2 linked regions of the Rhinolophus ferrumequinum genome follow. The protein of the gene in region 2 purifies or fractionates together with the protein of the main gene of each other region. This does not show direct contact. Links are inferred from orthologs where the notes say so. Each region holds a gene or a part of one and is shown on either strand. Other genes may lie near its edges.

Region 1 (11,451 bases), on a different chromosome or scaffold from region 2:
ACACTTTTGTAAGGCTTGGATGATTCTCTACCATCAGTTTCAGAGGAATCATAAAAAGTAATGACCATCTATAAAGTACAACTAACCTCTGAGACCTAAAGATTAAAGGTACACCTTAAGAGTAAAATACCATTTTAATACCACCACTTCAAGAAATAACAAATGATGGGAAGCATCACTACTATTATAAACCTATCAGAAAATTCTAAAGCTGTTCTTTCTCCAAATCAGCTAGGACTGTAATGCTACTACCCATTACATAAAGGGAAGAATCTTCTGATTACTTAAACCCTAACCATATATTAAAGGATACACCCTATAAGTAAGTATAGCCAAAATTACAGTATCATATGACAGGACAAAAACTAAAAGTTTATTAATCAGGAAAGGTATTAAATTTAACCAAAACGTATTCTCAGATTTTTTTCCCCCTCTTAAAACAAACTTGAATTTAATTCACAATTACCATAATTTCTAGTTTCTACTTTTCCCATTACTCCCAAATATTCTTTTCTTTTGTTGAATAAGTATACTAAATCTTGAGAATAGCTTTATAGATCTACATTACTATAAAGTTCAAGTTTCTCTTAACTGCCAAGTATATATATATTTAAAACTATTCCCTTTGATCCACCCAACCTACTTTCAGCACCACTCCTTTTATGATCCACAATCCTGAAATCATACCATAAGTAGAAATATATTTTTAAAGGGAAGCTCTCAAACTAATCATAGTTGATGATTTTCATGTTTTTCTGCTAACCGTAACCAGTTTACTGTTGTCAAAGCTCAGAAGACAGGCAATAGGATCTAAAGGCCTATGAAAAATTTGTGAAAAATCACTAACTTATTTTTTTCTTAATAATTGGGAAATAAAGATAAAACATCCACACCCAGTTCACAGAACCCTGGAATTCTGCTGCAGTGTGATTTGAGAACTGCTAACTGCATCCGTATGTAACTTCCCAGTGGCTTCTGATTTATACATCTTTTTATGACCTACAGGGTCTTATATGATCTGGCCACTGCCTGTCTCCCTGAGGTACCACTTTCTCCCTAGTTCTCCCCATTTTATATTTGAAGAAAATGAAGCACAGGTTAAGCAACTTGTTCTGTTATATACTGCTAAAAAGTGATAGTGTCAGAATTTGAACCTATGAAGAACCATAGTGTACTATTCATCAGGCTATATTTTCTCTCAATATTATAAATATATTACAATCAGAAAATCTTAAACAAAAAGCAACATTAACATACATATCCAATGCTGGAGCAATGAATACCACAGTTAGTGAAAACTTTCAGTACTAATCTATCCTGTTTAACCAAAAAATAAAATAAAATAAAATAAAATAAAGCAGCGTATTAGTAACAGTGACAGAGATGTATTTCTCTTGTAGCTTGACAAAATAGAAATTTAGCAAATAAAGGAAAGTAGACAATGGCCAGAATGACCCACCAAGAAACAGCTGAGCTGGTTGTTTCATTTTTAAACAGGGCTTTTTTTTAAAAAAAAAAGCTCGTCGAATATCTGTAAAGTACTAAAATTTGAGAGCTAAAAATGTTTTAAACTGAGTATCAAAATAAATGATGCCATGAAAATGTGTGAAATAGTTTTAAGAGCTTTAACATGTGTTAACCACATTTACTTATCAAGTTTCTTCAAATAGTAAAGCTGATGATTTTGGGGAAGGCAGGCTTAATTTGATGGTTAAAGAAAACAGACAATAGTGTAAAAGAACCCTGTAGGGAGCTATAAATGTTACAGCTTTAGGAAGTATAAGTCTCTTTGTAATATGTAGGGTAAATAAAGGAATACTGCTGATGTTATTTACAGTAAAGACAGAAAATAGCCGGTAAGTACAAAAAGAATACATTTCACAAACAACCTGCCTGTTGATTGATAGATTTTGAACATATCTCTTTATTTATGGTAATAATTACACTAACTTTTAAAAAATCAGTCAGGAAAATAGAAGCCACAAGCTAGGTATACATTGGCCATTTATATAACTTTCAAAGCACTTTGACTTATTTTATTTGGCTCTCAGTAAGTCCTCGTCAAGACTCAGTGAACTTTGGGAATAGCTATAGATGTGGGTACCAGTCCTGGCTCTGACTACGTAGCTGTGGTTGCTTGGGAAATGTATTCCCATTGAAGTGTAGTTTCTAGTCTGTGGCATGTACCTCACAGATTTGTGGAGAGCATCACATGAAACAAAAATGCATGTAAAAACAGTTAGAAAGTATAATGTGCTACACAAATATAAGAAATTAAAAGGCAAAGGAAGTATTATTTCCATTTGTTACTTGATTTGTTAAAAAATCATTTTTTAGTATCTACTATGCACTAAGCACTACTGATACAATTAAGACTACTACCTAAAAAATTTAAGTAAAGACTGGGAAACAAACTAATAAGCAAATAATTGCAATATAAGGTATTATGAAAGGAACACAGTGAAATGATCAATTAACTGGGAACCAAGGACCAGAATTAAGTGACTTCCTTAAGGACAAATCTTTAAGTATGAGAACAGGAACTAAAACCAAGTCTTCTGACATTAAATACAGAATATTTTTAACCCTCAGAGCCTCAATATGTCAGAGTACTACAATGCAGTATGTGTTCTTTGGTAAAGAACACCTATTTTTCAGAATACACTAACTGAACTCCAAGTTAATTTCAAATAACCTGCATTGTCAGTAATTTTGCCTTGTCAGATGGTAGGTAGGACTTCTTTCTTAAACCAGTGCATGGTCTGGGGTGGCTGGATGACTCAGTTGGTCAGAGCAGGAGCTCTGAAAAACAGGGTTGCGGGTTCAATTCCCTCATGGGATGGTGGGCTGCTCCCCCTGCAACCAAAGATTGAAAACCATGGCTGGACTTGGAGCTGAGCTGCACCCTCCACAATCAGATTGAAGGACAATGACTTGGAGCTGATGGGCCCTGGAGAAACACAGTTTCCCAATAGTCCCCAATTAAAAAAAAAAACAAAAAAAACAACCAGCAAAAAAACAACCAGCGCATGGTCAAGTCACCACAATGGATACAGGAAATCCACATCCCTTTCCAAAGTAAAGCATTATGTGATAGAAACAATTCTTGCAATAACTGTAATTAAGCTCTAACACTTAAGCTCTCTGCATCCTAGTTTTTAGTATAGGAGTGCTACACAACAAAGCTTTCAAACTATTTCACTGTAGTTGAAATAGGAAACACCAATATCTACAAACATTACTGTGCACCTTTTTGAGATGTTTTGAGAATTAGTAATTGTCATTTGGCATCAGATGAACTGAGAATTGGCAGTAAAGTTCTACTCATATAAGTAATTTCCACACCGTTGAAAGACAGAGTTACAACTTTTTTCCCTTAAATAACAACTTCAATCGGGAGAAAAAACAGACTTTTCTGTTACATCTTTTCTCCAAGAAACAATGTTTCCTGTTTAATCAACATTAAAGTAGCCTAAGTTTTGGGGGGGGGGTAACAAAAAAGACCTCAGGCTGAATATTAGTATTTAACCCCAAAATTCCCCCATCTTTTCAGTTTTGCATAACTGTAAGACCACACCATGTAATACTACAAGTCTGTTCTCACCGGTGCTGAAATACAGCAAACCGACGCGAAGCGTAATAAACTCTTTAAAAGTATGTTTTAGTTTCAATTCAAGGAGTGACTCATTCCACAGAAATGCCCAACTCGAGCGCTAAGGTAAAACGAACTTCAATTTTTAAAAATAAAGTATCGAATAAACTGCTCTTGGGCCCTTTGTGAGACAGCTTTTGTCAACACTGTGATCCATCCTACTGGTCCCTTGCAGTGTACGGTCTGGTTTCCACGGAGAGGTAGTATTTGCTGGAGCGCAAGAGGAAAAAACAAAAAACAAAACCAAAAAAACGATGGATGGAATTCTCAGGCCGGGAAGGAGCAGCGCTCGGCCCTGGTGCAGGAGTGTCACAGCGTTCTCCCGAGGCCGCCCCACCGCAAGGAGTCCTCAACTTTAAGCATATTGAAGAGGCTGTACAGTCACTTGGCCCATTTTCCTTCACGAGGTGCCTCCGCTCGTACAACGCCACCTGCAACTCGGGAAGACCGACACGGAGCCCGCCAGGGGTGTCGGTGGTGTCCAGACACTTCTCGCCCAGGGACGGGAGAGGTGTTAGCCCGGGGCCTACCCTCTCTCGACCACCCATGTCACTACACACAACCAAAGTGAGTTCTTCGAGAAACCGATCTAGGGGACTAGTTACCCGAGGTATGTCTGTGGATCCCGCAGTGGGGTCCCGCGCCGCGCTCTTTAATCCGAGAGATCAGACTTGATCCACCCGCAGCAGCCGCCGATCCTCCTCAGCGTGCGCTTCGCTCAACCCTACCGCGCATGCGGAACCACCTCGTCTCACGCAAGCGCCAACAGAATAGAGGCCCTCTTCGTCACTGACCATAGAGTCCGGGTCCTCCGGGAACAAGGAAGAAGGAAGATCCCAGGAGAACCTGAAAAGTACGTTTTTTTCGCTACCGTTAGTTGTCGGTAAGTAACCCTTCAAGGCGCAGGGAGAAGTAGAACTCTCATTCTTTGTTCCTGAAGAATAAATCCTCTCTCAAAGCTTCTGCCAACCATGAGGTGGCGCTGTGACCAAAAATGACAAGCGCAGGAAGAGAAAGAGTATACTCTTCTCTCTCGTTCTCTCGTCCCACGCGCAGAGCCTTGCGCAGCCGCCGGGGAGCTGGAGCGGGAGGGGCTAGGAAGCTGACCGGAATTGAGGTGCCGTTGGGTGGTGCGCGCGCCTGAACATCCGGGCATCGCCGGCTTTAGGCCTTTTTCCCTCCTCCCACGCCCACCCCCAAACCCACGTACCAACAGGAAGCGGAAGTGGCGGGTGCATATCCCAGCTGCCTCTTAGCAACGCGCGGGGTGTCAAGTGACACAGCCAGCTGACTCCGGTAAAGGAAGACGCTGTGGCTGGGTCTGTTGCAGCTACGATTGCCCGGCCGGGGACCCGAGCCACAGAGTCATCGTCAGAATGTCGGGCAAAGATCGAATTGAAATCTTTCCTTCGCGAATGTAAGTAAAAGAACGGGACGAGCATCCGTCATAGGCTCAGGAACGCCGGGTCCGAGCCGCGGTTCCTTCGTACCCGGGACCAGCAGCGAGGTTCCTGGTTTTCTGGGCGGATCCTGAGCTTCCCAGTCTCTCTTCGTGAGTTTAGGGCGAGGCTCTGTGACGGCCCCCTCACACATTCCTCTGAGTGAACCAGACTGGTCCCAGCCCATAGGAACAGACACCCGGCCTGCTGGCTTTTGTGGAGGTCCGCTGACTTTACTCTTCAATCGAGCCATTCATTCCACACTCCCTATTGAACCGGGCACTGGATGTATGTAACCGAATCGTCACCACTCGTGCCCTGACCAGAACTCAATTTAGCGGAGAGATGGATAAGCCAACGAGGTTTGATAAATGGATCGAGAAGGGAAGTTTTCTGCAGGGGGAAGTGTATAGAAGAGACTTCTAAGCCATATGGGGGTTGAATCGAAATGCTGTAGCGTAGACGTTAGATTCAATCGTGGATCCCCTTATTTTCCAAGATCTCATGAAATGTCACCTGCGGTGGGAAGATACCCCTCAGTTTCTCAGGCACTTCTTTTGCTCTCTTACCACCGTGCACCTTGTTCAGACCTCTGTTAATATCACCCATTAATCACTTTGTAAAAATGAATAGTATTTGTTTACATGCCTTTCCCCCTGGACTGTGAGGTTTCTGCAGGATCGGAGCGTCTTGATCATGATTCCATAGACTGTCCACAAAAAAAATGTTCCTTGAATGAACTCTTGTCTTGGAATCTGCTCCGACGTGGGCTGTCTTTCGTTTTTGGACTGAATTTTTTGGCAGGAGAAATAGCATGTCGCCCTAGGTGTTTGAAGAATATTTTGAGGTTTTCTCTAAAGAGAAAGTCTCTAAAGAATATTTTGAGGTTTTCTCAAATGTACCTAACAATGTGTGGAAAGAAAAGATTGTTCTTATTTGCCCCCTCCTCCTTTTTCCTCTTTTTTATTTCCCCCAGTGAAGAGCAGAAAATCAGTTTTGGCTCTGACATTTAGATCTTTTGATTGTGGTCCTATCTCTTTGGGAGTATTGTTGTTTTTCTTCATGCTGACCTTTTTCTCAGAGAATCTGAGGACTTTTAAAATGAAAGAAGTATATTCAAAGCCCAAACCTTAATTTCTGTCTCTGCCTACGTGGCTACAGCTATTAATTAAATGAAGGGGTTTGGGCTTTTGGTTTATTTTTTAACTTTACCTACTGACTTTCTAATAGCAGTTTGTAGTAGGTGGGAATCAAGGCAGTAGTGGAGAAAGGTAATGCCTGTAAAATAGATAAGGGTCAGGACTACCCTGGGGTAGTGAGAACTGCAGAATTTCCAGCCCTTAATGATTGAGTCCTGCCAGACCTCTGCACCAGAGACAGCCAAACTCCAGCGTTGCTTCTAGGAAGCTTAAGCTGTGTTCTTAGGATGACCCAGCCTCCAGTAATATGTCTGCCTGAGAAAGCTCAGCTGCTGTCAGAAGTTACTGTTCTAGCCAACACCTGACGATAGGCCCCTTTCTTAGGGCATTTACTGAAAAGGACTTACAATTATGAATTCTTCATTTTCCCTTTGAGATGTATATACCTCTCCTACAATTTAGAAGTGTCTTTCTCAAGGACCTGAAAACGATTTCTTTGAAATGTAGTCATCAGGAAGGATAGGGCCTTCATCTCCCATTCTCTGTGGGAGGAAGGAATCCTACCTTCCATAATGGCCAGCTAGTGGACACAGCTGGCCTAATCCCGTTTCCACTGACCAACCCTTCGTAATTTTTCACTTCTGACTCCCCTTGAGTGCCTTCTAGCTCCCCTCCCTCACTCTTCCTTTAACATGCCCAGTCTTCTCTGCACAAATTGGAATGGAGTGCAGTTCTTTTCCCCCTACTGTCAGTGGTTACTGAATAAAACCTGTTTTCAACGCTTTAACTAATATTTGGCTGTGTTTGTAGTCAGAATGTTAACAGTTTTTTGTTTTCACTTGGAGACTGAGAGGTGAAAATAAATTTATTTGGCCTTAGACAAGAAGAATGATAGGTTTGTGAAGGTGGAAATTGCTATTTGAGTGCACTCAGCTTGCTGTTTGAGAGGAAAATCAGGTGCAGGAAGTAACCCGCTTCTCTAAATATTTTCTGCTTCTCTAAATATTTTCCAGAGGCTTAGCAGCAGGTACTTTGTCATGCAGTCAGATGTCTTTGATTCAGCTGGAAACAAAGTTATTATCCTAGCTGAAGGTCAAACACTTTTCAGTAGGATTTAGCAGTTCTGAAACTTGTGAAAGAACAGATGTTTTAAGAGCTAGGCTAGAAAATACATTAGTGACTTCTGTTTCAGACAGTTCCAGTGTTATCCTGTGAAATGAGGCTGACACCTCCTTAGGCACCAGAGAGAGCAAAACAAGTTTAGGGGGGAATCAAATAGAGTCAACAGAAGTCAGTCAAATCCAGGTTATACTTACAAGGGCTGTAAGTATAGTATGTCAAGTTGTTTTTCTTCAAGTCTCAAGAATGAAAATTGACCTATTTCGCAGAGATGCCATTACCTAGGAGAAAATCAAAATTAGCATGTTAAATTCAATTTCATCAACCAGTTTGCCTTTTTACTATGAACTTGCTGGAATCTGCAGTACTAGGGTTAGACTTAAATTTGATTCGACTCCTTGAGCCCAAATTCTGGTGGTTAGTGTCAACAATACGGTGTGTTTAAATGTACACATTGGGGTGGCTAGCTCCTGCTTAGGCTGGAAACTGAACCAGCTTCACTTGGTCCAGTCAGTGCAGAGTCAGTCACTGACAGCTAGAGAGACAACTATTCATCTGATGGTATTTTTAATCTGTAGGGGAGGCAGTGTGGCATGTTGGGGTACAGTGGACTTAAGTTTGAGCCTTAGTATGAGCCTTGGGCAATCACTGGAGTCAAAAATCCGGTTCAAGTTCTGCTCTGCCTTTTCTTCACTAAGTAGCTGTGGCAAAGTTGTTTCACTTTTCTGAGCCTCATTTTCCTAACTTTCAGGATAATGTCTGAAGTCCTTTCCAGCTATAGAATTATCTCAGTAACCTTTGCCCAGTGGTAAAAGATTTCAATATAATCTAAGAATTTAGCCAAAAAGTCCATTAATATGTACTGTTTTGCAGTTGGTTGTAACACTAGTCGTATGAAATTAAATCTCTTTAAACAAATCACTTTAAGTATTTATGTTACACGATCTATTGTTGAATCTTATTACCCATTTTTCCCCCCCATTATTAAATTTTATCTGGCATATGGTAGCAAGAAGAGAAATGTCAATTTCTGCTGTTGCTTTCTCGACTTTGGTATTGGGGTTTCTGATGGGAAAGACTGAAATAAGGAGGTAAGGAGATATGAGTTTCTTGTCACTTCTCAGGAGTCATTACTTATATATGTCATTGACAAGTTACCTAAAGTCATTTGTTACCTAATTTGTTATATCAAGTCATTTGCAAATTAATAAAATGATTGGTAGTAGAGTCTTGACTGATATCAAAAATACTATAATGCCCTGCTCTTTAAAATAACATTTACATAATCCATGAAAAGTATTAAGTTATACTTGTTGAGGAATCATAAATAGTTGGACTATATAGAAAAACCCAAAAAACAAGTATAACTATTATTATGGCTCTCATTTCATTAGCAAACAGGTAAATACACTCAAACAGAACTGATTCTGAGTTCAGCATCTATCTGTAGGTACACAGGCCTTGTCAGTGACTTGGGACAGCTGTCTACCTCTGGTGTCGGTGGTTTCTCGTCCTTGAGGAGTCTGATTTCCGTAGACAGGAGTAAATGACTCTTCGCAGTCAGGTGCCTGATAAGGTCCCTTCCAGTGAGGTTGGAGAGTGTCTTATTAGATGTTCCTTCCAATAAAAAAAAATCTCCAGGTGTTTAATGCCACACTTTTAACAGAAAAAGTAGTAACTGGCTGTGGAATAAAATGCCAAAGGTACAAAACAATATAATAAAAAGCAAATCTATTTTTTCTCAGTCAGCCCCCTTTCTCAAAGGAAACTGTTAGCAGTTTCTGTGAATCCTTTCGAGAACAGGTCTCTGTATCTGTGTAAGCATATTTACCCCTTACTTTGCATAGCTAAGACAATAAATATAATAGAAAGAGCACATGGAGATCTGCCTTCCTCTTTTTTTATGGCTGCATATCCATTTTATAATGAACCATGATTTATGGAACTTTTAACATGTATCCACTCTTTAGCTATTACAAATAAGGCTGGAATACACCGTGTATTGTTTTTGTACACATGCAGGAGTAAATCTGTAGGATAAATTCCTCAAAGTGGAATTGTTGGTCCTGAAGGTAAGAACATTTCAAATTTTAATATATATTAGTGGACAGATTATTTTTTAAATCTTTAATATGCCTCTAATGGAAATACAGGTGTTGTTTTAACTTACACATCAAATAAGTAAACTATGCCGACATCATAAAATAGGGCTCATGATAGATTTTATTATAATTTAATAAATACTTATTCCATATATTGATTAAAAAATTGTTTCTGTTTTAAATAACCTTCTCATTTATGAAACACTGAGAGTGGAATTCCACGGTATTGAGAAATCAGTGAAGCCTGTCAGGTACAAAGGCTATATATATTCTTATTCTCGTGACATCAAAGAACAAAGCATAATTTTAACATTGTATTGGGCAGGTATTTTTATTTCTGTTAAACAAGGGGAGTAAATGCCTTTAACTGTTTATATAGGGCACAGACCATCATGAAGGCTCGATTAAAAGGAGCACAGACAGGTCGAAATCTCCTAAAGAAGAAATCTGATGCCTTAACTCTTCGATTTCGACAGATCCTAAAGAAGATCATAGAGGTAGAGTGAACTCTGCTTAGAACAGTATTTATTTTAGAAATATCTCAGGAAAATCCAACATGGCTTGTTGACATTTTAATTTTCCTTTAAGTTATTTTAATGAATTTTTTTTCTTTCAAAAGTAAAAATAACCATTATAAAGTACCAAGTTGCACATAGCTTAATACAATAAAATCCAAACTCCTTCCTCTTAATTTTTTTTTGTTGCCAATTTGTCGGGCTAAAATTGGTATCTTATTTTAATTTGCACTATTGATTTTTTGTGAGGTTGAGCATCTTGTTGTGCTTACGGGTAATTTGATTTTCTTGGTGAATTTACTTTTTTGTAGAAGTTCTATATATTTCAAGTTAGTATATAAAATGCTAAAAATATTGTCTCCAAGTCTTTTGCTTATCTTTTAACTTTAAAAAAAATGTTATCTTAATTTTTATTTGGTCAAATCTCTTCGTCTTTTATATAACTTTTGGGTTACATACAATGCTTAGAAAGGCCTAAAAAGATTAGGATCATGTTCTACTATATTTTCTTTTGTTACTTTATAGCTTTAAAAATAATTATCTTTAATACGTTCTGATTTTTTTTTTTTTGGTGTGATGTGAGGGGGTAGGGATTTAACTTTGTCATTTTGTAAGTAAATGGCCAGTTAAATGATTTCTATACATTACCAAATTCCCATACAGATCTGGGGCTGTTTCTGACCTCTCCATTCCATTTTATTGACTTATCTGACCAGATTTATTTCCTTATTGGAGCTGTACATTTTTAATACTTGGTAAGATAACTCTCTGCCCAACCTGTCCTAGTGTTTCTTTTCTTTCAAAAAATTAATGGATATTCTTACACATTAAATATTCCAGATTTATTTTAGAATCACTATGCTATTAGGATTTTGACTGCATTGCAGTGAGTGAATTAAGGACATTAATTTGAGCAAATCACCATGGGCCCATTCAGGAATAACAGTACCTGCAGTAAAGGTTCAGTTTTCTATTTCTTAGTGCCTTTATTTTGATGTTTTGATTATAAAACTCATGGTTTTGCAACATTGTTAGTAACCATAATCAAAACTGTTGAAATTTGGAAATTTTTATTGTGTTTTATCATTATCACAGTGATATTTACATGCACATCTGATATAAAATACTGATGGTTATTAAAGGAATACAATTATGACATGATGTTTTTCTTGTAAAAAACTTAGTTGAACTAGCTGTTGGTTTATGCTTTTACAGACTAAAATGTTAATGGGTGAAGTGATGAGAGAAGCTGCCTTTTCACTTGCTGAGGCCAAGTTCACAGCAGGGGACTTCAGGTAAGAAGACTAAATAGGATGTTTTAAAAAATCAAAGTTCTTTCATCTTCATACTTGCATTTAAAAGCCATTTTAAATTTAAACATGTATAAGCTTTAAAGACAACTGATATACTGTAATAATAAGGAAGAACATTTTTAACCCCATCTTCTTAACACTACTGTCTTTCTTACTACCCACATGTATCTGT
Region 2 (10,919 bases):
ACTCCAAGCTGTTGCAAAGCCTCTTGGGAACTGTAGTTTACACGGTCCTCAGAGGGTTTTTCTGGTTTAGTAAGGGCGCCGCACAGCCCTTTGGGAGTCGTAGTTTTCGCAGCTCGAAGGCCTGCTGTAGGGAAATGAGTAAGACTAGGCTTAGTTCCTGACTTTATCCTCAGCGGACTACCTGGTGCTCCAGTTCGGCCGCGTTGCCCCAGACATGTTCACCATGGACTTCCGCTTCCCGCTTTGCCCTCTCCAAGCCTTCGCCATCTGCTTGTCCAGTTTCGATGGGAAACTGGCATGTGAGTAATCCAATGAAATAACAGTATTCTCATAAGCTCCTGTGCCTGCTCATTTGGAGGAATGGCTCCAGCATACCTTCTTTTGCACCACCTTACTAATCACCAACACTTATTACAAGCCTCCTGGGTACCCAATCCTGGGTTCTAGGGAGTGGGCTATTCAGCACCTGCTTTAGTGGGACTCACAGTGGATCATGGGAGATGGGTCTTAAACAACAAAAAATTAAAATGATCCTCTGCTATACAAAAGCACATGGAGGCACAAATCGGTGAGAGCGAGGCGGCTCTAAAAAAGTGGTTTTCATAGTATACCTGAAGAACTCAGAGGAACTGGCTGAACCAGGGGGGTCAGAGTTGGGAACAATCAATAGGCACAGCTCATACAAAGATCTTAAGGTGGAAGGGGGCTTGGTTGGTTTGGGAAAATGAAAGGTTAGTGTGGCAGGAGCCTGGAGAACCAATGGAGGAGGGGCAGGGTATGAAGCTGGACAGGGTGCAGGACATTTGGACCACTCTTGTTTGATTTGAACTGCTGGACAGATCTTATGATGTCAGAGGAGAGTTCTAAGCTGGAAACATAAACTAAACTAAGATAGTATTTGAAGACATGCATGGGTGAGAGTGAGAAAAATTATAATACTAGCTAACACATATTTTTAATTGACAAGCATTGTTTTAAATATGAACTTCTCTGGGACCTTATAATCCCTTAAGGTACGTGCAGTTGTTAGCCACATTTTACAGATAAGGAAACTGAGTCAGTGGACACAGGGCTTATAAATGTGAAATGAGGCAGCTGAAAACCTTGAACTCACCATGTAAAGGCCAGTAGGAGGATGAGTCTTTATATTCCAGAGAGGCACATAAAACTGGAGCTTAACCCTTTTTTAGAGATCAGTGAGTCCAGCTCCCAATCCCCTTGGGGAGATAACTGTCCCCATTTTAATAAAATTCAGGTGAAAGCCAAAGAAAAACTACAAAACTCACCATCCTTGTTCAAAAGGAGCCTCAGGACGAGGAGGCAAATTTGAAGGATGATGGGAAATGTAGTTTATCCTCTATTAAGACACTTTATGCTATTACCCCCAACTACTTCTGGGACCCAGGAGTAGTAGACACTGTCAATTCAGATACATACGGTGACATTGTTCACTACAAATCAAAAGGCTTTATTTCTTAAACCAACTGGTAAAAAAAAAATAAATAGTTAATAACACGCAAACCACATGACCTTAGCCACGTCTCCCACTGAGGTCAAGGCAAGGAGACAGGGACACATAAAGAGGGGAGGGAGAGGCCACAGCATGGCTCAAGGCCATGGCCTGGGCAGTGGATGTGGGCAAAGTCTGGGTAGGGGCAGATATGGCAGTCAGGGAAGGGGGAGGGTTCCCGAGGCGTACCCAGGCCCTGGCCCGGGCTGCATGGGTGAGGCAGGGACCCAGCTTCTCCTGGGCCTGGGCAATTCGGCGGGCAAAGCGGCTGCGATCCCGGGCAAGCTGCTCCCAGGGGCCCCGGCGGGCAGCCTGGGCCGGTCCCGCCCAGACAGCCAGGAAATGGATGGAGACCTTCTCAGAGAAGCGTACCTGGAGACAGACCGGCACAGACATGGGGAGACACAGAAATACAGACATAAGATACACAGGGCCAAAGGGGAGAGGGGGAAGAGAGAGAGAGAACCAGACAAAATTAGTTGTCTGTCAAAATTAGTAACACGAAGATGCTTGCTATCTTAGTCACCTGCCTGCCACTGGACTCTCCATCTGACTCACTGAAGGTGGTAGAGGTCTCTGGGATTGACATTCTCTGGGGCTGACATGAGTCACAGCCGCTTCCTTTTCTCATGGGGGCCCAGCCTCTTGCAAAGGATTACATTACAGTGAACACAGCCCTCCCAGGGGAGTTCACATGCAACCCTCTGTAACACATGGGGAAACCAGGAGTCCCAGCTCGCAGCCCCCTCCTCCCCAACACTCAAGAATCTGAGCTCTTAGCACCCACCTTTCTGGCTTTTTGGGGGGTCTCAGGGTCCAGATGCTGGGTGGTGGTTTCTGCGGACTTGAGGGAGTTGAGCCGTCTTTGCAGTCGGAGGGGCAGCCGAGGAGGAGCCCAGGGAGGTGGTGGCTTCTCTCCAGGTAAATAGATGGTCACTCGGAAGGGGTGGGGCTCTTCCTCCCACTCCTCAGCAGCTTCCTTTCCCTCTGTCTCCTCTCCAGATGGATATGCCCAGCCTCTGAGGAGGGCACTCTGGGCCTGAAGGGAAGAACTTGGCCCTGAGTCAGCTGTTTCTGAATCATCTTTTTCATCCTCATCTTCCTCCTCCGAGTCTTCCCCTGGTCGATACACCCAGGCCCTCAAGAAGGTGCTTGTGGGAGGGGCAGAAGAGGGACCCTCAGCTTCTCCCTCTTCTTCAGCTGCTCCTGAATCACTGTCCTCATCTTCCTCCTCCGAGTCTTCCCCTGGTCGATATACCCAGGCCCTCAAGAAGGTGCTTGTGGGAGGGACAGAAGAGGGACCCTCAGCTTCTCCCTCTTCTTCAGCTGCTCCTGAATCACTGTCCTCATCTTCCTCCTCCGAGTCCTCCCCTGGTCGATACACCCAGGCCCTCAAGAAGGTGCTTGTGGGAGGGGCAGAAGAGGGACCCTCAGCTTCTCCCTCTTCTTCAGCTGCTCCTGAATCACTGTCCTCATCTTCCTCCTCCGAGTCCTCCCCTGGTCGATACACCCAGGCCCTCAAGAAGGTGCTTGTGGGAGGGACAGAAGAGAGACCCTCAGCTTCTCCCTCTTCTTCAGCTGCTCCTGAATCACTGTCCTCATCTTCCTCCTCCGAGTCCTCCCCTGGTTGATACACCCAGGCCCTCAAGAAGGTGCTTGTGGGAGGGGCAGAAGAGGGACCCTCAGCTTCTCCCTCTTCTTCAGCTGCTCCTGAATCACTGTCCTCATCTTCCTCCTCCGAGTCCTCCCCTGGTCGATACACCCAGGCCCTCAAGAAGGTGCTTGTGGGAGGGGCAGAAGAGGGACCCTCAGCTTCTCCCTCTTCTTCAGCTGCTCCTGAATCACTGTCCTCATCTTCCTCCTCCGAGTCTTCCCCTGGTCGATATACCCAGGCCCTCAAGAAGGTGCTTGTGGGAGGGACAGAAGAGAGACCCTCAGCTTCTCCCTCTTCTTCAGCTGCTCCTGAATCACTGTCCTCATCTTCCTCCTCCGAGTCCTCCCCTGGTTGATACACCCAGGCCCTCAAGAAGGTGCTTGTGGGAGGGGCAGAAGAGGGACCCTCAGCTTCTCCCTCTTCTTCAGCTGCTCCTGAATCACTGTCCTCATCTTCCTCCTCCGAGTCCTCCCCTGGTCGATACACCCAGGCCCTCAAGAAGGTGCTTGTGTGTGAGTCGGAAGACAGACCCTCAGCTTCCCCTGAAACACTGTCCTCATCTTCTTCATCATCTTCCTCTGTGATCTTACTGGGTTGATGTTGCCAGGTCCTGAGCAGGGGCCTCGGGGCTAGAACTGAGTGTGGCCCTAGGTCAGCTTTTTTCTCAGCCTTTCCATCCTCCTCTCCCTCCTCTTCTGAACAACACTCCCAGGTGCTGGGGTAGGGGCCTGCAGATGAAGGGGAAATAGAGGGCGTACTGACTTCTTTATTCTCTGTTCTTTTTTCCTCCTTGGCACAAGCTTCTTCCTCCCCTGCACAATACGCCCAAGCTCTGGGCTTGGGTCCCAGAGATAAGGTGGAAGTACATGTTCTGGAAGCTTCTTTGTTTACAGCTTCTCTGTCCTCTTCCTCCTCCCCTTCCACCCCTGGGTGGCACCCCCAGTGTGATGGAGGGAAAGAGAAGAATGTGGTCACTTTATCTTCAGCAACTCCTCCTTCCTCAAATTCCTCCTCCCCAGGAGGGCCTCGCAGGGTTCTTCTCAAAAGGCTGGGGGACAGGAAAGTAGGCTGGCCATCTATATATTCACTTCCCTGCTCCCTAGGGACACTGGTTGCTTCTTCCCTACCATAGTCTTCATCATCTGAAAGTCCCCAGGCTTCAAGAAGAGAATTGTTGGCTTTCAGATCAGGGCGGGCGCCCCAGGATGCTTCTCCATCCTCTTCAGTAGCCTCCCCTTGAGGGTGCCTGCCCCAGGGGGCATAGTGGGCAGCCAAAGAAGCCTTAGCTTCTCCCTCCAGGCCAGCTTCTCCCTGATCTGCGCTTGTTATTGATTTCAGCAGCCAGGGCTCTGGAGCTCCTGGGCCCCTCAGCCGGCTCCAGGCCCAGCTGAGAAAGCCCATCAGTGGTGACAGGAGGAAGAAGGGGTGGGCATCCCTCCAGGGGGTGAGCTGATAGTGCACTTGGCGTGGGGCCATTTGTCTGGGCTGGGAAAAAGGAATAAAGTTTAGAAGGCATTTAGGAAATAGTAGCATCAGGGGATGACTGCTGAGTCATAGCAACAGAAGTACACAAATAGCAACATGAGAGTCCCTGCCCACATTCCTTTCTGATTCCAGCCACTCCCATCTCTGTCCCTGGGTTCCCACATCTCCTCTCAATACCCAGAAGTCTGGGTCCCCATTTTCTCCTTTCTTAGACCCAAGAGTCCAAGCCCCCAGACCGCTCCAGAAGTCCTAGTCCCAAGAATCAAGAACACAGGTCCTGTACTTGCTCCCCTTGGGGACAAAGTCCCAGTCCCTGGTTCTCTTATCCTCCTGAGGATTGACAAACCAGGCCTGCAACACCTTCCTCCCTCGGAGACTCAAAAATTCCGACTCCTCCCCTCTCCCAATGGTCCCTCACTGGGGGTGAGTCTGGCTCCCAGACCCCTTTCCCTCAGGCTCAGCACTTCAGGCTCCCAATTCCTCTACAGCCTAAGTTGGAGCCCTGGCGTCCGTTCCGTCCCACCCCTCCCCAGACACAGGAGTTCAGGCTCCCAGGCCCTCTTCCTCTGGACCAAGGAATCCTAGCCCCGAGCCCTCCTGTCTCAGTACCTAGAAGTACCAAGTTCTCTCCTCATTACAGACTAGGAGACTGATCCCCAGCCCCCAACCCCTGGGGATCCATTTCTTCTCATCCCTCACTCACCGGCTGGGGGCTGCGCGTCACCCCGGGGGCAGAAGGGCCGGTTCGGGCTGCCACAAGCGATCGCAGGTCCGGACGGCTCGGGAGGCCAGCGCTTTCATCTCGCCCTCCGGCGTCGGGATCAGGGATTCAAGTTATCACCGGTCGCTGCGAGCGCTGTCGCGACAAACGGGCGCGGGGTCGTGCAGGATGGCGCATGTGATCAACAACAGGACTAGGAACCGATCCAACTAGGGCTGACACCGCCCGCAAGGGTTTTATAATCTAACGCGGCCGGACGTGCTGACGTCACGAGGAGAGGCGGGTTTTCGAAACGAAGACGTGAGAAAACAGGAAGGGAAAATGAGGTGGGAATTCTCGCGGGGATTCCGGCTTTGTGGTGTCACCGCAGCCTTTCGAAGTTGGTCACGCCCCGAAACAAGCGAGCTGTCAATCAAACGTGGCTTAAGCACCGAGGGAGCTTTCTCAGCCCTTGTTTTGGACAAATGCCTTTCCCACCCCAATTTAAGCGGCAGGCCCCCGTCTAGAGTCTCGCACCTTCACATCTGGTCCGCTTCTCCGCCCCCCCTCCCCCTGCGGAAGAGTCTTGCTGTTTTCATTTCACAGATGAGGAAACTGAGGCTTGGGAATGAAGTCACCTGCTCAAGATGGTCACAGCTGAGTCCAGGTACATTACAAATGAGAACAATGTTAAGCATCTTGAAGGCAGGCCCTTTGATTTGCTCACTGCTTTCTTCTCAGTGCCAGACACATAGTGGATACTCAACAAATATTTGGTGAGTAGACAGGAAACCAAAAGCTCAGACCCCATCGGGGCTTCATGCACAAGGCTCCATGTCTGGATTTCACCTGCTTCAAACTCGGACTCGCCCAAAAGCTCTGCTTACACAAACTGAAATTCTGGGTGGGTGGCATCGACTGAACCTCAAGGGAGCAGGATGTCTGCCACAAGATCCAGACCCAAGGACATGGTCCCAATTCCCCAGCCCAATCCCCCTCCCTGGTCCATAATTTTGCTCCTCAAAATATGCCCAGTAACCATGTCTCCCTCCTGAGAGGGTCAGCCTCAGTCTAAAACAGAATTCTCACCTGCATCTGAGGTGGAGATCTGACCATGTCTACTGGACCCTGCTCCAGCCAGAATCCAGGAATCCAGGGCCACTCCTCCTCCCTGGAGGATCTGGACTCAGCGCCACACTTCCAGACCCCAGGCTCCATTCACAACTCGGGAGTCCTGAGTCCTCCTCACACCTTCCCAGGTACTCAGGAGTCTGAAACCCCACCCCTTCCAAGATCCAAGCAACCTCCATTCTAGGTCCCAATGACCCAGGAACCTGACCCCAATTAGCACACAGGGGCCCCGATCTGGAGGCCTAGCTCCTACTCTCCCAACATTTAAGATAATCAGCCTCATCCCTTATGGAATCCTGGTTCTCCCTGTCCCAGCCCAGAAGGGACCCAGGAGTTGGGGGAGCAGCCCCTCCCCTCTCCTGTGGGGGCAGCTGAGCCAGGGGTCAGGCCGTGGTGGGAAGGCCAAGAGGGGCGGGGTCAGCGGGGATTGGGAGGGGAGACAGCAGCGTGGGCGGCTGGCAGACCGAGGGAAAGACCAGCAGAAGGAAAGAGAAACTGGGAGAGGGAGGAAGGGAGAAAGTGAAGAGAACCTGGGAGAGGAGGAAACAGCAGATGTGGAGGGCCATAGAGAGAGAGAGAGAGAAGAAAAAGGAAGAGATTGAGTGAGGGAGGGAGAGAGAGAGAGATGGCAAGACAGAGAGAGAGAGAATGAGACAGAGACTTAAGGAAGAAACTGTGAGTTCGACAGAAAAAGATTTGGACAGAAACAGAAAGATTGGGAGAGAAAATGATATGGGTGTGTGTGTGTGTGAGAGAGACAGAAAGTGAGACTGGAGACAGAGACAGACTAAAAGAAAGGGAGAATGTGAGAGGAAGAGAGACCATAGAGACAAGAGACAAAGACAAAAAGAGTGAGTGAGCATATAAGTGAAACTGAGGCCTAGGAGAGGCAGCACCTAAGAGACAGAGGAGGGAGGCTGTGGCTGGTGCCCCAGCGCCCACACTGCCCTCTTGTCCCCTGTCTTTGGGACCCCAGAGCCGGTAAGTTCCCTGGCTGGGCTGGGAGGGGCTGTCTGGGTGTGCATTCCTGATGCCCCAGGGCTTGGCAGGGATGTCTCAGGGTTGCTTGTGGGAGGGCAAGAGACAGGTAGCTGGGGGCAGCCGGAAAGAGGCAGGGAATGGGGGGATCCCTAAGCACAGAGGGTCAAATTCCTTGCCAGAGCTCAGGGGGCAAGAATAAAGGAGCCCCTATTCTCTGTCTTGGGCTGCCGACAGCTGCCCCCACCCGCAGCTGCCAGTGCCGCCCACCTCTCTTGGCATCACTCTTGGTATGTGGCCCTGGGCCAGGGCCTCCCCAGCCCCCCAGTCCCCAAACAACAGGCTCTTTCTCCTCAGCCTCCTCCGACCTGGGACCCCCTGACCCCGTCTCTGTCCCCAGCCGGGTCAGCTGCAGAGACATGCACACAGCCCTTTTCTTTCTCTCCCCAAGCCCTTGATGGAGGAGGGCAGACCTCGGAGCAGCCTCAGCCTGGCCAGCAGCGCCTCTACCATCTCCTCACTCAGCAGCCTGAACACCAAGGTTGGAGCGTCTGGCTGGGGCTGGGGAGGAGGGCAGGGCTCTGGGCTGCCCCATCCTCCTGTTTTCTAGCTTTGGGTTCGGTGCCACCCCAGGGACTCTGGTTGTTAAGAGCAAGGATCCTTAGCAACGGGGCCTGCCAGACCTAGTTAGGTCCCAAATTGCCTACTAGCTGCAGCTAGGAATTCAGAGGCACTTCCAGCTGTTCCCACCCCTTGTATTTTCCTGATTTGAAGCCAGAGTAAAAAACCCTGCTTGACTCTGGTTGCTAACCTAAGGCCACTCCCCAGCCATGAGGCGCCCCCTAGGAACTCAGAAGCAGTGGCTACTCTGGATTAGGACTGAGAACTCCCTGTCTTATCTCTAGCCATCCAATCTACCCAATTCTGAAATTTGACAAGGAAAGAGCTTTTTGACAATAAGGCTCCATGAGGCCTGAAACACTTACATCCCAAATCATCACTCCAGCCCATAGTTCAGTGATGACACTCATTTTCTTGTCCTCCTGTCATTCCTGTCACTCATTTCCATTTCCCCAAGTTCAGAATCCATAGATTCAATCCTGACCTTGGTCACACCATCCCCAAGGGCATCCCGGGGGGTGAGTTGCAAAGAAGCGGGGATGCTGGCTATTGGGATGGAGGGATTTGGAGCCTCTCTCTACCGGGACATGGTTGCTAAAGGATATCACTCCTTGGCACTGAAGCGTCCTTTGATTCTGGCTGACCCATCACCAGAGACTCAGCTTGGAGGTCCCTCCTGATTATGGGGACCTCTCAGGCAGTATTTCCAGTTCAGATCCCAAAGGCTGTATCACATCTCTGGCTCTGGTGGCCAAGGGCGTCCTCTCTTTGGCAGTGGATGCTTGATTCCCAAATTCCTTCTCTGTCAGCCAGTAGCCTCTTCCTTGCCTCCAAACACCTCCCTCCACCCATAAAAAGTGTCTTTCAATGCTGCACTGTACATACCCAATTCTGATCTGAAAACTCAGCTCCCTCCTTGACCTGGTTTCTCTGGGCAGTCCAGCAAGGGGGTCCCCTGTACCACCTCCCCAAGTCCATCGGGTGTCCTGTTCACTTCTCTCTTCCTTCTCTCCTCAGAAGTCCACCCGGGCAGTAAGCAAGGTGCACACCTTCGGGAAGAGGGGCAATGCGCTCAGGAGGGACCCCAACCTCCCGGTGCACATCCGAGGCTGGCTGCATAAGCAGGTGGAGTGAGCAGGAGAAGGGAAAGGACACTCCAAGTGACGTTCGTTAGAGGCTGTGTCCCGGGCTGTCTGCTGTTTCTCTCCTTCCAAGTCTCCAAATTGGTCTTTTTTGCTATCACTGCTTCTCCCCTTATTCTGTCATTGTTTCATTCATTCATTCATTCATTGAGTGACCATTTCTTGAACATTTATTTACAATTACAATGTGCCAAGCCCTGGGACACACGTCACACAAATAGGGCAAGTATCTGTATTACATTCAAGATGGAGGTGGAGTGGGGATGGATAACAAATTAATAAACATAATTGGAATAAATGAAATAACATATAATATGTATATTACATAATATAAAATTAGAATATATGAAATAAAATAAGTGATTGCAGATTGTAGGAAGTGTTGAGAAGGGCTGTGAAGAAATCATATAGGGATGTGCTCGAAAGTGGCTGAGAGGATGAGAGCTGCCTTTGACTGTGGTCGGGGAAGGCATCTCTGAGGAGATAACATTTGAGCTGAGAACTAAGTGACAAGAAGGAGCTCATCATGCTAAGATCTGGGGCCAGAGGGACTGCAAAAGCAAAAGGCTCTGCAGCAGGCCATCGCTGGGTGTTTGGAGCAAGCCAAGGGAAGAGAGAGGACGGGCGTCTGAGCAGCGATTCTCAAAGTGCAGTCCGAGACCAGCAGTGTCAGAATCATCTGAAACTTGCTAGAAAGGAGAATTGTCAGGCCCCACCCCAGATCTACTGACTTCAGAACTCTGGGGATGAGACCCAGGAATCTGGTTTTAACAAGCCCTCCTGGTGAATTTTATGCACTCCCAAGTTTGAGATTCCATGTCAGCCAGTAAACGAGGGTAAGGAATTTGCAATTTATTCTAAGTTTGACGGTAAGCTCTGTTTTGAGCAGGGACTCACATGATCTGATTTATCATTTTAAAAGATCCTGTTGCTTCCAGGGGAAACCTATTGAAGAGAAGAGGGGCACAAGGTTGGGGATGGACTGGTTCTGGCAGCAGCTCAGTGCCCATTTCCTGGCCTCTCTGTGTCTCAGGCTCCAGAGTAATGGGACCAAGTCTTCATATATATAGCCCCTGCCCACGTGTGGTACAGTATTGTGTTCCAGCCTTCCCCGTAACTTCTCAACCTCCAGTTGACAGACGAGAAAACGTGAGGGTCCTAGTGAGAATTGACTTGTTTAGGGGAAGTTTGAAAGTGGTGGAGTCAAACACAGGTCCGACTGTGTCTGGGATCTATGTCCTCTCAACCACAGCACACTGTTTCAGTTCACCTGAATCTATTGTATCAAACACGTGTCTCTGCTCCTTCCATCTCTCTGGGTCTCTGTCTCCAAGCGTCACTGTCTCCATCTCCTTTTTTCCTCTCCCCTCTATTCAGGTCTCTCCTCCCACTCTGTCTCCCTAGGACAGCTCTGGGCTTCGGCTCTGGAAACGCCGCTGGTTCGTCCTCTCCGGCCATTGCCTCTTCTATTACAAGGGTCAGTGCTCCAGCTGGATGGGGCGGGCGCCCTTTCCTTTAGCCCTTCAGATCCCCTGTGATCCCTCACCCCAGCCCTTCTTTCGCAGACAGCCGCGAGGAGAGCGTCCTGGGCAGCGTTCTGCTCCCCAGCTATAGTATCAGGCCAGATGGACCAGGAGCCCCCCGAGGGCGGCGCTTCACCTTCACCGTGAGTCCGTCCAACCCCCATGGGCACTAAGG

The links.
Region 1: the proteins of PPP1R15A (region 2) and EIF2S1 purify together in Homo sapiens (affinity purification with western blotting; 4 studies listed by BioGRID and IntAct, with this or other methods). This does not show direct contact. The link is inferred for Rhinolophus ferrumequinum from reciprocal best matches to the Homo sapiens genes PPP1R15A and EIF2S1.

Annotation. Positions count from the first base shown.
Region 1 is NC_046289.1:29,310,488-29,321,938, forward strand, and holds the start of EIF2S1 (eukaryotic translation initiation factor 2 subunit 1), read right to left. Parts: upstream 4,399-11,451; 5' UTR 4,258-4,398; intron 1-4,257. Other genes in the region: ATP6V1D (V-type proton ATPase subunit D), read left to right, coding at 5,029-5,069, 9,831-9,948, 11,182-11,261. UniProt on the Homo sapiens protein: Member of the eIF2 complex that functions in the early steps of protein synthesis by forming a ternary complex with GTP and initiator tRNA. This complex binds to a 40S ribosomal subunit, followed by mRNA binding to form a 43S pre-initiation complex (43S PIC).
Region 2 is NC_046298.1:44,265,359-44,276,277, reverse strand, and holds PPP1R15A (protein phosphatase 1 regulatory subunit 15A), read right to left. Parts: upstream 5,622-10,919; 5' UTR 5,353-5,621; intron 4,650-5,352; 5' UTR 4,641-4,649; coding exon 2,298-4,640; intron 1,883-2,297; coding exon 1,532-1,882; 3' UTR 1,448-1,531; downstream 1-1,447. Other genes in the region: TULP2 (tubby-related protein 2), read left to right, coding at 174-307; PLEKHA4 (pleckstrin homology domain-containing family A member 4), read left to right, coding at 7,916-7,999, 9,097-9,204, 10,626-10,698, 10,787-10,887. UniProt on the Homo sapiens protein: Recruits the serine/threonine-protein phosphatase PPP1CA to prevents excessive phosphorylation of the translation initiation factor eIF-2A/EIF2S1, thereby reversing the shut-off of protein synthesis initiated by stress-inducible kinases and facilitating recovery of cells from stress.